2 linked regions of the Danio rerio genome follow. The protein of the gene in region 1 interacts with the protein of each later gene in a biochemical or structural test. Links are inferred from orthologs where the notes say so. Each region holds a gene or a part of one and is shown on either strand. Other genes may lie near its edges.

Region 1 (7,278 bases):
TGGTCCCTTTATTAATCTGGGGTTGCCACAGCGGAATGAACCACCAAGTTATCCAACATATGTTTTACACAGCGGATGCCCTTCAAGCTGCAACCCATCACTGGGAAACATCCATGCACACTCATTCACACACTTACACTACGGTCAATTTCAGCTTACCCAATTCACCTTTACCGCATTTCTTTGGATTTGTGGGGGAAACGGAAGAAACCCACACAAACACGGGGAGAACATGCAAACTCCACACAGAAATGCCAACTGACCCAGCCGAGGCTCGAACCAGTGACCTTCCTGCTGTGAGGTGAGCGTGCTACCCACTGGCACTGTGACGCCCCTGTGCAATCTTTGATAATCTTAAATGATTGTAGCTTGTCAGACTGCGCGAACAGGACTCCCATCTCACACTGTAAGATCTCAGTTGTCATAATGTCTGAATGACAATCAAGACACGCCAAACACGGACATGCAAAAAAAAACATTCTGATACTATCCGTGAAACATTCACTTTTCTGCGGTCCGAAATGAAAACTTATGGCAAACATAATCAAAATGTAGCAGTAGTAAAGTTTTGAGTTGTCGCGCTGATTGCGTCACCAGATTCAGAGCTCCTATTGGTTCTTGGTTTGACGCTTGTCGTAGCTCAGGAGTGTTTAAACTCAGTCCTGGAGGGCCAGTGTCCTGCAGAGTTTAGTTCCAACCTCAATTAGACTCACCTGGGATAGGTAATCAAGCTCTTACTAAGCTTTCTAGAAACATCCTTGCAGGTGTGTTGAGGCAAGCTGGACCTAAATTCTGCAGAACACCGGCCCACTGCCAGAACTTCCTCACAGGGAAATTTGATTGCAACGGCCTTTAAGATGCTACCGGTGAACATGTCAAACCAACAATGAAAGACCACAGATTTTACTCTAGGATTAGTCTCAGACAACCAAACCATGGCTGCAGTGGCACAGTGTAAGCAGGACTTTACTCAAATACCTTGGGGGTTGCAGGACACACACCTGTTGGTTGGTGATGGTGGAAATCTGTGACGGAAGTTTACCAGCAGGAGCTGCAGAAGGTTTTGACACTCCCTTTACCTTCACACACATACCACTAGTCACTAGGCTTATATGTGAGAAGACATTTACATTTATTCATTTAGCAGATGCTTTTGTCCAAAATTGAAGATAAAAACACACTTCAAATCACCAGAGAACAGCAATGTACAGATGCCATGGCAATTTAAAGTTAGTGTAGCAGCTTTTCCCCAAACTTGTGAGATGGAAACCAACAGATACAAGTTGTCCGCAATTGACATGATCAGTGCAAATGCAATGTTAGTCTGATATATAACCTACGCCTTAACCCAACAACTTTGCTGTTAAAACCAGAGATGTTGTGCCTTCAAAAATGTCACTTTCTCATCAGTTGTCATGCTGAATTATCGTAGCAATCCTCTGGTTTGATAGATAGCACTTCAATCCACTCCAAAGAGTTAAAGTAGTAGAGAAGTCAGAAGCCTTTATGCAAACAGTGAGAGATTAGTTCTGCAGTAAGACTGGGCTGCTGAGCAATTTCATGCGTTACAAAAGCATTCAGAAAGACATGCAGTCTGTACCTCCGGCTTTCGTACAGCGGCCATCCGGGACGCAGGAATAAACCCTGTGGGAGGTGCTAGTGGATCAACTTTAGGCTTGGGTATAAATCCTGGCACTGATGGAAACGGGTCTCGCTTCGGAGGGGGAAGAAATCCTGCTGGAGGTGCTAAAGGATCAGGTTTGGGCACAGATTGAGTGGAAAGGTTTGCTTTAGAAGCAGGATTAAATCCTGAGGGTGGTGTAGGATGATCAGGATTGGGTGTAGGTTGAGTGGAAGAGTTTGGTTTTGGGATGAAACCAGCAGGTGGAGCCAATGGATTGGGTTTGGCAGCTGGAATGAATCCAGCTGGAGGGGTTAGAGGATTCTGCTTAGGAGGTAAAAAGCCTACAGGAGGTGCAAGAGGGTCTGCTTTAGGAGGTGGACTGGTTGCTGGGACAGACAGCTGGGGTTCCTCTGTGGGTGTCTCACTTTCCCCAGTCCTTTCTTGGCTTTCCTCCTGAGTTTCTTTGCGTTCGGTAGCTCTCGAGCGGGAGCGATGTTCCTTACTTCTTGCACGCCCCATTAGGCTGGTCAACCCGAAAGCAAGGGCATCTCCATCCACCGAGCTGCTGGCTTGCAGGGGCCGGCTAGTTTTGGGAACTGAAGTAGCTGTTGACTGTTTTTCCTCTGACCCTGTTTTATTCGCCAGATTGAGTCCTCTTCTTGCCAGCGTATCTGATTCCATGCTGCCTTGTCTTCCATTAATGGACCCACTGCTCCTCTGATCTATATTCATTGGCCGCTCTGGATTCAGCGGTGTTGATGGTTCCCCTCGCTGTCGCTCAGTTGGACCACTTACCGATGGTGTTGTCTGGGGTTGACTCGTGTTGTTCTCGCTCTCTGACTGTTCATACAACCCAAAACACACATGTACAGGTCAAAACAAAGTAAACATGCGCTAGCTGCTGGAACAAAAATATAAGAGTTCACATCACTCCTAACCTACAATAATACAAGGTTTACAAAAGCTTTGGTAAAATTCCACAAGCAACAACCTTCCAAAGTTTCCTGAATTTCCCAAAAGGTGTCAGACGGGTTTCTGTTCTAAAGATCAGAAGCTCTTCACTCTCTCCAGCACAGCAGCACTACTGAGTTCATCTGAAAAACACTTTGATTTGCTTTCTTCCACATGGCCAGGCACTTTGCAGTTCTTTTCTCAGCACAGTTAGACAGGTTAACTGACAAACCCAGTAATTAAGGTCACTGCAGCGCAGCGCTGGCTCACAGCCCTGAAACACAACTCTACTGGATCAACCGCATGGACTTTTTGTACTCTCTCACACCATGCACAATTCAGAACCTTAAGTATTCCAAAGACCTCATAATCATTTCACACTTTAAAATGACAGTTTATAGTGCACATTTATTCTTAAGGTACTAAGAATGAGCTCTTATATGCAGACAGACCTTCATGTCTATCCTGAAGGTGATGATACTGGTGCTCTTCCAGCTGTGCACGCTGTTCTGCGGGATGCTGAAAGCAACAGCAGCACTCTGAGAGTGCCGGACAGGCCCCCAGTCCGATACCTCCATGATGACTTGCAACCCTCTCACACATTTGCTTCAGGCACATTCTTAGCTCAGCATCCTTCTCCTGCTCCTTCCCTCTCTTTCTTCCTCTACACTACAGCAGTGATTGGAGGACGAAAAGAGGCAGGGTGTAATGTCAGCAGGCTCCACCCACTAGAGTAGAGCAGCAGGACAGTGCCAAACAAACACCAACATACTATACCATCACTCTGACATAAACATGAACACTACAGTACGTTAACAACTGAACATTTGAGCATTCAGCACAAGTTCTGGAAGCCACTTTGTTTTGCCAATACCTATTAAAATGCCACCTTTCAATCAATACTACTCCACAAATTCCTCTGGATTAAATAGGTGAAGAAATAGAAAGAAGAAATAGATGAACTACATACACACTAGGGCTGTGCAACATGACAATATATATATTGTGTGGACAAAATAAAAAGCCGTTAATTTTATATTATGTATATTTATATTGTGGTGTCACAAAATACATTGTTTACTTACTTTCATAATTTATAAAAGAGTACTACACACCATTACTGTGATTCAGGCAGCATTGTGAGAAAGTTACAAACTTAAAAAGTATAATGTTTACATTTAGCATTTTATTTAGCTTTTTTTTTTTTTTTTTATGTTGGACCTGACTAGGCATGGGCCGGATTCAGATTCTGACGGTATGATAACCTTGGATAAAAATATCACGGTTCCATGGTATCATGGTATTGTGCTCACTGCTCTAAAATATGTTGTTTTTAAAAGTCTAGGTAAAAAAAACAACCACTTATTTCCCTTGAACACAATATATTTTATTTTTTGAAAGATTTATGATTTTTTTGAGCAGTAAACATGTCAGGCTAAATAATTTAAATGGATCCATAGCGGCATCCCAAATCGCATACTTATGCACTATTTAGGCCGCATACTTACTACTTATGCCATTTTGTAGTATAAATAGTGTAAGTAGTGTGTTCACACTGAAAACTCTAAAAATCATAAGTGCACTTTAATTTCCCAGATGATGCACTCATTCAGACGGTAAAATGAAGTGTGTAATGAAGGGCCCTTCACGCACTCAACGACCGCAGGTTAGCTTACGTAGCGGAAGGGGCGGAGCTATCGGCCGCACATGTTGGATAACTTTTTTTTTTTTGGATGGTGAAAGCAAAATTCTTCTACGAGAGTGATTATAGCGCCTCCCGATGGTGAATGTGGCAATACTCACGGCAGGTATTATTTGATAATTCGGTCGTTTATTTCACTGATTTGGCAACCGTCAAACGTCATTAGGGAAACGGTTTGAATTTCCGCTTAATAAAAAAAACAATAGTGTGCCATTTGGGACGACAGTACATACATATACTATGCTGTTGAGTGTGTAAGTGCATAAGTACATAGTGCATGAGTGCATAGTGTATAGTGTGCCATTTGGGACGCAGCTCTTGACTTGACTGCTGTCTATGTTAGTTTCAAAAACACAGATTTCTTTACAATTTAAAATGGCATCTTTGGATATTTTCTGCTGGAGATACTGTTGTCCTAAAAAAAATTAAATAAATGTAAATTAAAAACTTACACATACCTTAGGAACAGTATTACAGAAAATTTTGGCAGTTTTAAAACCTTGACTTTTCCCAAACCGCCGTATACCCTAAAAACAGTTTTTCTCCCATGCTTAGACCTGACATCCTTTGTTTTTTTGTTTTTTTTTATCAAACATTGCCCTGATGTTCTAAATAAAGTTAAATGTGATCAAATGTGATCCAGAAAATACTTTAAAATGTAAAAAAAAAAAATGAATAGAACTTTTCATCATGTGAAACAGAAATATTTTCAATTTGGATAGAAACCCCATAAATGACTAGTTAGACAGTTGCGCATAATATATAGTGAAAGATTAATTTATACGTGGGACTCACTGTATCGCAAATAAAGAGATAAACAAATGTTTTAAGGAATTTTACTCAAAGCTATACACCTCAGACACGGAGTTGGACTCACAAACAATGGAATCATTTCTACATAAATGTAATCTCCCCGAGTTATCTTCAGAGAACCGGGCATCTCTTAATAAAGACTTTGCTTTAGAGCAGGGGTGTCCAAACACAGTCCTTGAGGGCCGGTGTCCTGCATATTTTAGTTCCAAGCCCAATTAAACACACCTGACCCAGGTAATCAAGCTCTTTCTAGGTATACTAGAAACTTTCAGGAAGGTGTGTTGAAAGAAGTTTGAGCAAAACTATGCAGGACACTGGCCCTCCAGGACCGAGTTTAGACACCCCTGCTTTAGAGGAATTAAAGATCACAATAAATACTTTAAAAATCGGTAAAACTCCCGGTCCTAATGGGCTGCCAGCTGAACTATATAAAAAAATTCAGCCACATACTTGTTTGTTTAAGGCTTTTTTCAGCAACTGTAAATAACTGGACTACCACCAACTTTTTCTGAGGCTATTATTACAGCAATTCTTAAAAAAGGTAAAAATCCTAAAGAAGCCGAGGCGTACAGACCCTTCCTAAGATCCATCTCCCTTCTCATTGTTGATAAAAAATATTATCTAAAACACTTGCTAATAGACTCGGTATATTAATTCATAAATTTGTTAATGTACAGTTGAAGTCAGAATTATTATCCCCCTGAATTACCCCCCCCCCCTGTTTATTTTTTTCCACAATTTTTGTTTAACAAATAGATTTTTTTCAACACATTTCTAAACATAATAGTTTTAATAGCTCATCTCTAATAACTGATTTATTTTATCTTTGCCATGATGACGGTAAATAATATTCGACTAGATATTTTTCAAGACACTTCTGTACAGCTTAAAGTGACATTTAAAGGCTTAACTAGGTTAATTAGGGTAACTAGGCAGGTTAGAGTAAACTAGGCAAGTTATTTGAGTGGAGTGAGGTTACTTGTTTGCTTTCCTTGATTTGGGAGATGAGTTTATAACTTGGATAAGAATTTTGTTCAGTAGTCCATTAGCATGCGTTTTAATAAATAGAACAATTTCAGACTCTTTTTTACCTTAAACTGCTTTTAGATATTCTTGATCTACACGTAGATTCTGATGCAGCGCTTATTATATTAGAGCATTCTGACAAATTCACTAAGCTGTGCATAACAGAGATTTCATACATATTGTTTGATAACAGCAAAAAAGCTACTATTATTGCACTGGAAAAATGTTAATCATCCAACTGCTAAACTATAGCTTTATGAATTGATATCTACTTTGCACTTGGAATGAACCAGATGTCTTTTAAAAGGCAACATTGGACAATTTCACAAGATTTAGGGCCCTTTCTTCTGTCTCTTAATGGGGAATTATTTTCCCCAAAGCAACATATTATAACTAAAAAGTAGTTTTGATTATGGCTGTATTGTATACTTATAGACTGGGGTTGGGGTGTTTATTATTTTGGGATGAAAATTAATCCCGGAATTTGTGAAATAAACTATTAATGAACTGAATTTACATACTGTAAATGGTACTGTATCGTGATATCAGGATATGACTGATGAGATGTTTGTCATATCGCCCAGCCCTATTTCAAACAATTCAATTGTTAGTTAGTTTAGTTCAGTTCAGTGTGGTTTAATTTTCACTCCTAAAAGTCTAAACACTGAAGAGCAAATCCATCGATTTGCAGCTTCACAAGTCCCAAAACTAAGCAAGCCAGTGGTGACAGAAATTACAGACAAAGTACAGCAATTACAGAGCAAATGCAAGGCCGGAAGCCAACAGCTTTCGTAAAAGATAAAGGCTTTTCAAAACAAACCCCATCTTTAGCAACTCCCGATGATATATGTGAAGTAAACACACAAGGATGTGTTTTCAAGTGAACCCCAGCCACAATAACAAATGCTGAGTGCTAAGAGATGTGAGCTCATCTGATTTCTGAACAGGCAACCTTCTGAACTCAGAGTCATGCAGTAATGAAGATGCCGCTTAAACACTTACACTCGAGCCTTTAGCACCCGGTACGTTTTCATCTTTCACCTGAAGTGAGGAAGATGAACACAGTGGTAAAGTTAATATTGTTCTGGATGTAGCATATAACCATATTTTCTCTCTCTTAACCCAATCTACACTTTGTTGACTCATAGATTCTCATAGAGAT
Region 2 (4,840 bases), on another chromosome or scaffold:
TGTTAAATTTTACATATTGCTGCCCCTTGCACGGCGGACAGCATCTTGCGATTATATGAAGGATTAAACAGAAGCTCTTGTGCTAGATGTGGCGAACAGTTACCTAAAAATTCCATCCCACAGACTTTTCATAGCGGACTTGAAGCCAATGGAAGTCTTTTATCCGCTCTTGGAAAATTGTAGATGGTGGATCAACATTCAGCACATGATCACAACTAAGATGTGTCATTATTTATAACTTTAGATGCCATGGTTTCTAAAACAAAAATCTGTCAGTGTTATTATTATTCTCATCTTAAGCGCTTTAGTTTTTCGCGTAAGTAGCTATCTCTGTCATCCCAAGCCAGAAGGCGCTGAGTGATTGACAGCTGATATTAACCAATCATTCGTGTTCAGTGCTAGAGCAGTGGTGGGCCAATAAGAAGAGCGCGAAGGCGGAGCAAGCATTACGGACGTGGATTTGTTTACTGCAGCAAGTTGAAATGACAACTGTTTTAAACCATTCCTGAGCGCTGCGTTTCGCATTTCAGGTGCAGACAAAGAGCTTAGAGATGCATCCTGCGTGAATGTCTCTCAAATCTGCGCATGTGGTGAACATTTTGCAGTAAAAACTGGTCGCACACAACAATTTTAAGCACTCGCAGAAATGCTCCCAAATATATTTTGAGGTCGCATAGATAAAATTTCGGGCGCATATGCGACCAAAATGGTCGCAATTTCGAGCCCTGAATTACATTGCATACAAATCAATGCAAATGTAAGAATGGGTGGATTACCATCCTGCAATGCGAGCGACCAGGAATACGTGACTTAATTGCTGCAAACATCAGAATTTTCCTCAATGATATATTTTTCATTTGCTGTGAACTCAGCCATGTTGGCCAATCAGAAAGGAGAAAACAGTGAGGAATACCATGAGGAAGAAACTCCAGTTGTAGTGTCCACACGACCTCACTAAGTTTCTGAGTTTTAGAAAATCTTCTCCCTGGCTAGAGTTTTCAGAAAGTTTTGGTTTCACTCACCCAATAGATTTTGCATAGAAAAAACTACGGTTTTGAAAATACTTGTGGTTATGTGGACAAGGCCTAAGTGAATTGCGTGGTTGCAAGAAGGTTGCTGGTTTCTAAGTTTGCATGCTCTCCCCGATTTGTATAAACTAAATTGGCTGTAACGTGTGAATGGGATAGAGTGTGGGTGAGCAGGCGTAAGGGTGGAGGTGTTTGGAGCTAAACTATGCAAAGCTGCGGCCATCCAGGAATTGAGTTTAAGACCATTAGATTAAGTCGTAGGAAAATGAGTGTTAATTGTTACTCTCAAAATGCTACAAATGTATTAGCAACACAATTATAATGTAAAAATCCATTTATATTTTACCTCATTATCCTCAACATTTCTGGTCCAGATAACTTTTGCAGTTATTCATCTCAATCTTGATTTATGTATGTCTGATAAGCGTTTTACAGATAATCACAACCCTGATGTCTACTTTAGCAATCAGAATTGAGTTGGAGTTTCAAATGAATGTATCATGCACACCAGTTGGAGGTAAAGTTTTGATAGTGATTAGAACTTAGAGTGGCAATGAGGTCTTAAAATATTCTGAGAAGGTCTTTAAAACGGTATTGAAATGGCCTTTAGGATTGCTGCATATACCCAGTGATATTTTTTAACATTTAGGTTACAGCTGCAGAGCAATTTGTGAAAAGATGCGTAACATCTATATGAAAGATGACTTCATGCTGTAGTTACAAATAAAATATTTCTAGTATAAGGAGGATGCTAAATTCATCTACATTTCTGCCAAATGAACCACAAATCACTGAATGTTTTATACTAAAAGTGTTTTGTCTTTCACAGGTGAAACATGGAACCCATTAAAGCTTCATTATCAGCTGCGTAATGTTCGAGAGCGCCTGGCCAAAAACCTGGTGGAGAAAGGTGTCCTCACCACAGAGAAACAAAACTTTCTTCTTTTCGACATGACCACACACCCCCTCACCAACAATAATATAAAGCAGCGCCTTATAAAGAAAGTGCAGGAGTCCGTGCTGGAAAAGTGGGTGAACGACCCTCACCGAATGGACAAGCGCCTTCTGGCCCTAATATTCCTGGCCCATTCGTCTGACGTCCTGGAGAATGCGTTCGCCCCGCTGCTGGATGACCAATACGATCTGGCCATGAAGAGAGTACGACAGCTGCTGGACCTGGAGCCTGAGGGCGAGAGCATGAAGAACAACGCCAATGAGCTGCTGTGGGCGGTGGTGGCCGCCTTCACCAAATGAAGCAGCTTGACTTCTGACAAATATGACGTTTGGACTGGTAAAATCAGGTTTGAGAAGTGGTGGATGAAAGTGGAGTCTCGGTGTCTTTCCTTCCTTGTAGATAAATCTCCCTCCCTTACTTTTCTCCCTGCAAGATCTATCATTGGGTTTCTCTCTCTTGTTGGAAAAGGGGACCAGTTTATTTTGAGTGCCGATGGGTTCCTTCTCACTGTACTGTTGAGAATTACGTTTTAGTATCGCTGCACAAAATGGCTTGTTTTTGTTTTTCAATGTTTTCATGCTTGGATATCTGCGTCGGTTATTGACCGACTAGAAAATATTCAAGAATTTGATTTCTGTTTTGTCATCTAATTGGGATCCATTTGTGACGGAAGCTGTGTACATTGCACAGTGGTACGGCTCAACCGTTGCTAATCTGAAAATAAATACACTAGTGTATATTTTTTAATTCGATTTGTTGTCCGTTTGTTGTCTAATAACGAAGGCTGAAAAGTAACCAAAAAAAGGTCATCAGAGTTAGTCCTGTTGGAATGACAGATAAGTTATTTGTGGAAAGGGTGCTAATGCTAACAGCTAACATTCACGCTGCTGAAACAAAAGCCCTGTTTACACCTATGTTTTGGTCAATCAGATTGGGTGTTTAAATCCATCTCCTTTGTCCAGACTACTTTGTCTCTATAAGCAGTAATGCTGTGGTGAGAAATTGATTCCCTGATATTCAAAATGCATTGTTTTTCACTAAATAGATTCTGAGCTTAGTTTTAACAGGAGACGGCGCTGTTTGATTTACTCTCCTTGCTTTCAGTTCCTTATAAATACCACTTGAACTTAAAATAATTAAATAACGAAATTTTTTTCAAGAATTACAAAATTGATTATCGTAAACTGACCAAACTTGCCTGACTCAGCGAATGCACAGCCACTCTTTCTGGAGAGCATTTAAGTATATGTTTATAAACGAGGCTAGAGTGCCACCTACTGTTAAAACTGCTCAAAGTTCAGATTTTATTGAACAGTAATGTGTTAAGAAAATTTTCGATTTGATGCAAAATCAATTTCTTGAATTATTTTTTATTTCCACAGCTCTATGTTGGGACAGAAAGTTTAATAGGATTTTTGCACGGTTTACATACAAGTGTGAAAGGAGATGATGAAAAACGATACTGACTTTGTTCTAATAGACACGAAACTATGCAGAACATTTCCTCAATGAAGTTACATTGATGAGGTTAAGGAGAATAGTTAAATGACGTTACACTACATTAGTGTTTACACTTTGAGAGTCAAATGTGTTTTCGCCTGCATTTAAAGGAAAAGAAAATTTGACCGATTGATGAAAACGTCTCTTAAAGGTATAGTTCACCCAAAAATGAAAATTCTGTCTTTTACTCAACGTTCACTTGTTCAAAACTTCTTTGAGTTTCTCATACTTGTCAACATTGGGATGTAAAAATACAAGATACCCTTCGAGAAATAAAATCAAGTCATAAAATCACTTTTTATTCACTGTAAATATTGATTAAAGTTATTTTAGTTGTTTAGTGAAGAGAAATGAATCTCTCATTTTGATCCACTGTTTTTCTTTTTTATAACAGAGGTGTCCCTTTAAGAATCCACAGATTACTTTCGTAACCGTTTATGCTCATTTAAGATAAAATTATTTGTTTTTAAAATGAAACACGCCAGGACAGATATGTTCACATATTATTGGGTGAATTTGTTCGTTTAAAAACACACCCAAACTGTGATTGGCTGTGAAGGCCATCGGTTCACAGAACTCACCACTGTTTACTGCATGTAACCACAGATACAGGGACACTGAATCGTTTTATGTCGACATTTGAGCGCTCGTATGTCAGTTTATAGACAAACCACCTGATCAGCGTGACGCTCCAGGGATTGAGATCGACAACAAGACTTCAGGTAGTGAAATATTAATTTCATCATGCTTTCAAACCATATATATATGGTTTATATATATATATATAAAGTGAAAGCATAATTCTCTCGAACAACTCTTGCAATTATATCACGTTTGAGATCGGCTCTTTGATGCTACTCTCACTTTTCATAGAAATATTAAAAATACAGGAGAAATACTTGACAATATTTAAACAGTGGAATAGAATGGTAAAATACCAATCTGATCTCACGAGAGAACAAAAGTATTTTACGTTTTGGCAGTTTAGTGGCTAATTCGTTACGAGTTCAGCCGTAAGAAATTGTACGATTTTAAAAAGGAGGCCTGGCACCTAACCCCACCCCTAAACCCAACCGTCATTGGGGGATGAGCAAATCGTACTAAAATGTACAAATTAGATCGTACGAATTAGCCACTACATGAAAAAGTTACAAATTGCAGTGAGATTGTGTTGAAAATACAGGAGAATCACGTCAAAACTGAATCGTTGACGGGTATATTCTGTTAAACACAAAAGAAAATATTTTAAAAATGCTGGTTGCTGGCACCAATCAACTTCCATATTAGAGGAAAAAATACAATGGAAGTCAATGGATGGCAGCAACCAGAAAGTATCTTCTTTTGTGTTAAACTAAAG

Evidence for each region.
Region 2: the proteins of myo18aa (region 1) and golph3a form a complex in vitro, tested with the Homo sapiens proteins (2 studies listed by IntAct). The link is inferred for Danio rerio from reciprocal best matches to the Homo sapiens genes MYO18A and GOLPH3.

What each region holds. Positions count from the first base shown.
Region 1 is NC_133185.1:42,092,500-42,099,777, forward strand, and holds part of myo18aa (unconventional myosin-XVIIIa), read right to left. Parts: 5' UTR 7,263-7,278; coding exon 7,119-7,262; intron 4,925-7,118; exon of another isoform or gene 3,154-4,924; coding exon of another isoform or gene 3,028-3,153; intron 2,465-3,027; coding exon 1,601-2,464; intron 1,080-1,600; coding exon 1,002-1,079; intron 1-1,001.
Region 2 is NC_133180.1:42,003,550-42,008,389, reverse strand, and holds part of golph3a (Golgi phosphoprotein 3), read left to right. Parts: intron 1-1,857; coding exon 1,858-2,282; 3' UTR 2,283-4,840. UniProt on the Homo sapiens protein: Phosphatidylinositol-4-phosphate-binding protein that links Golgi membranes to the cytoskeleton and may participate in the tensile force required for vesicle budding from the Golgi.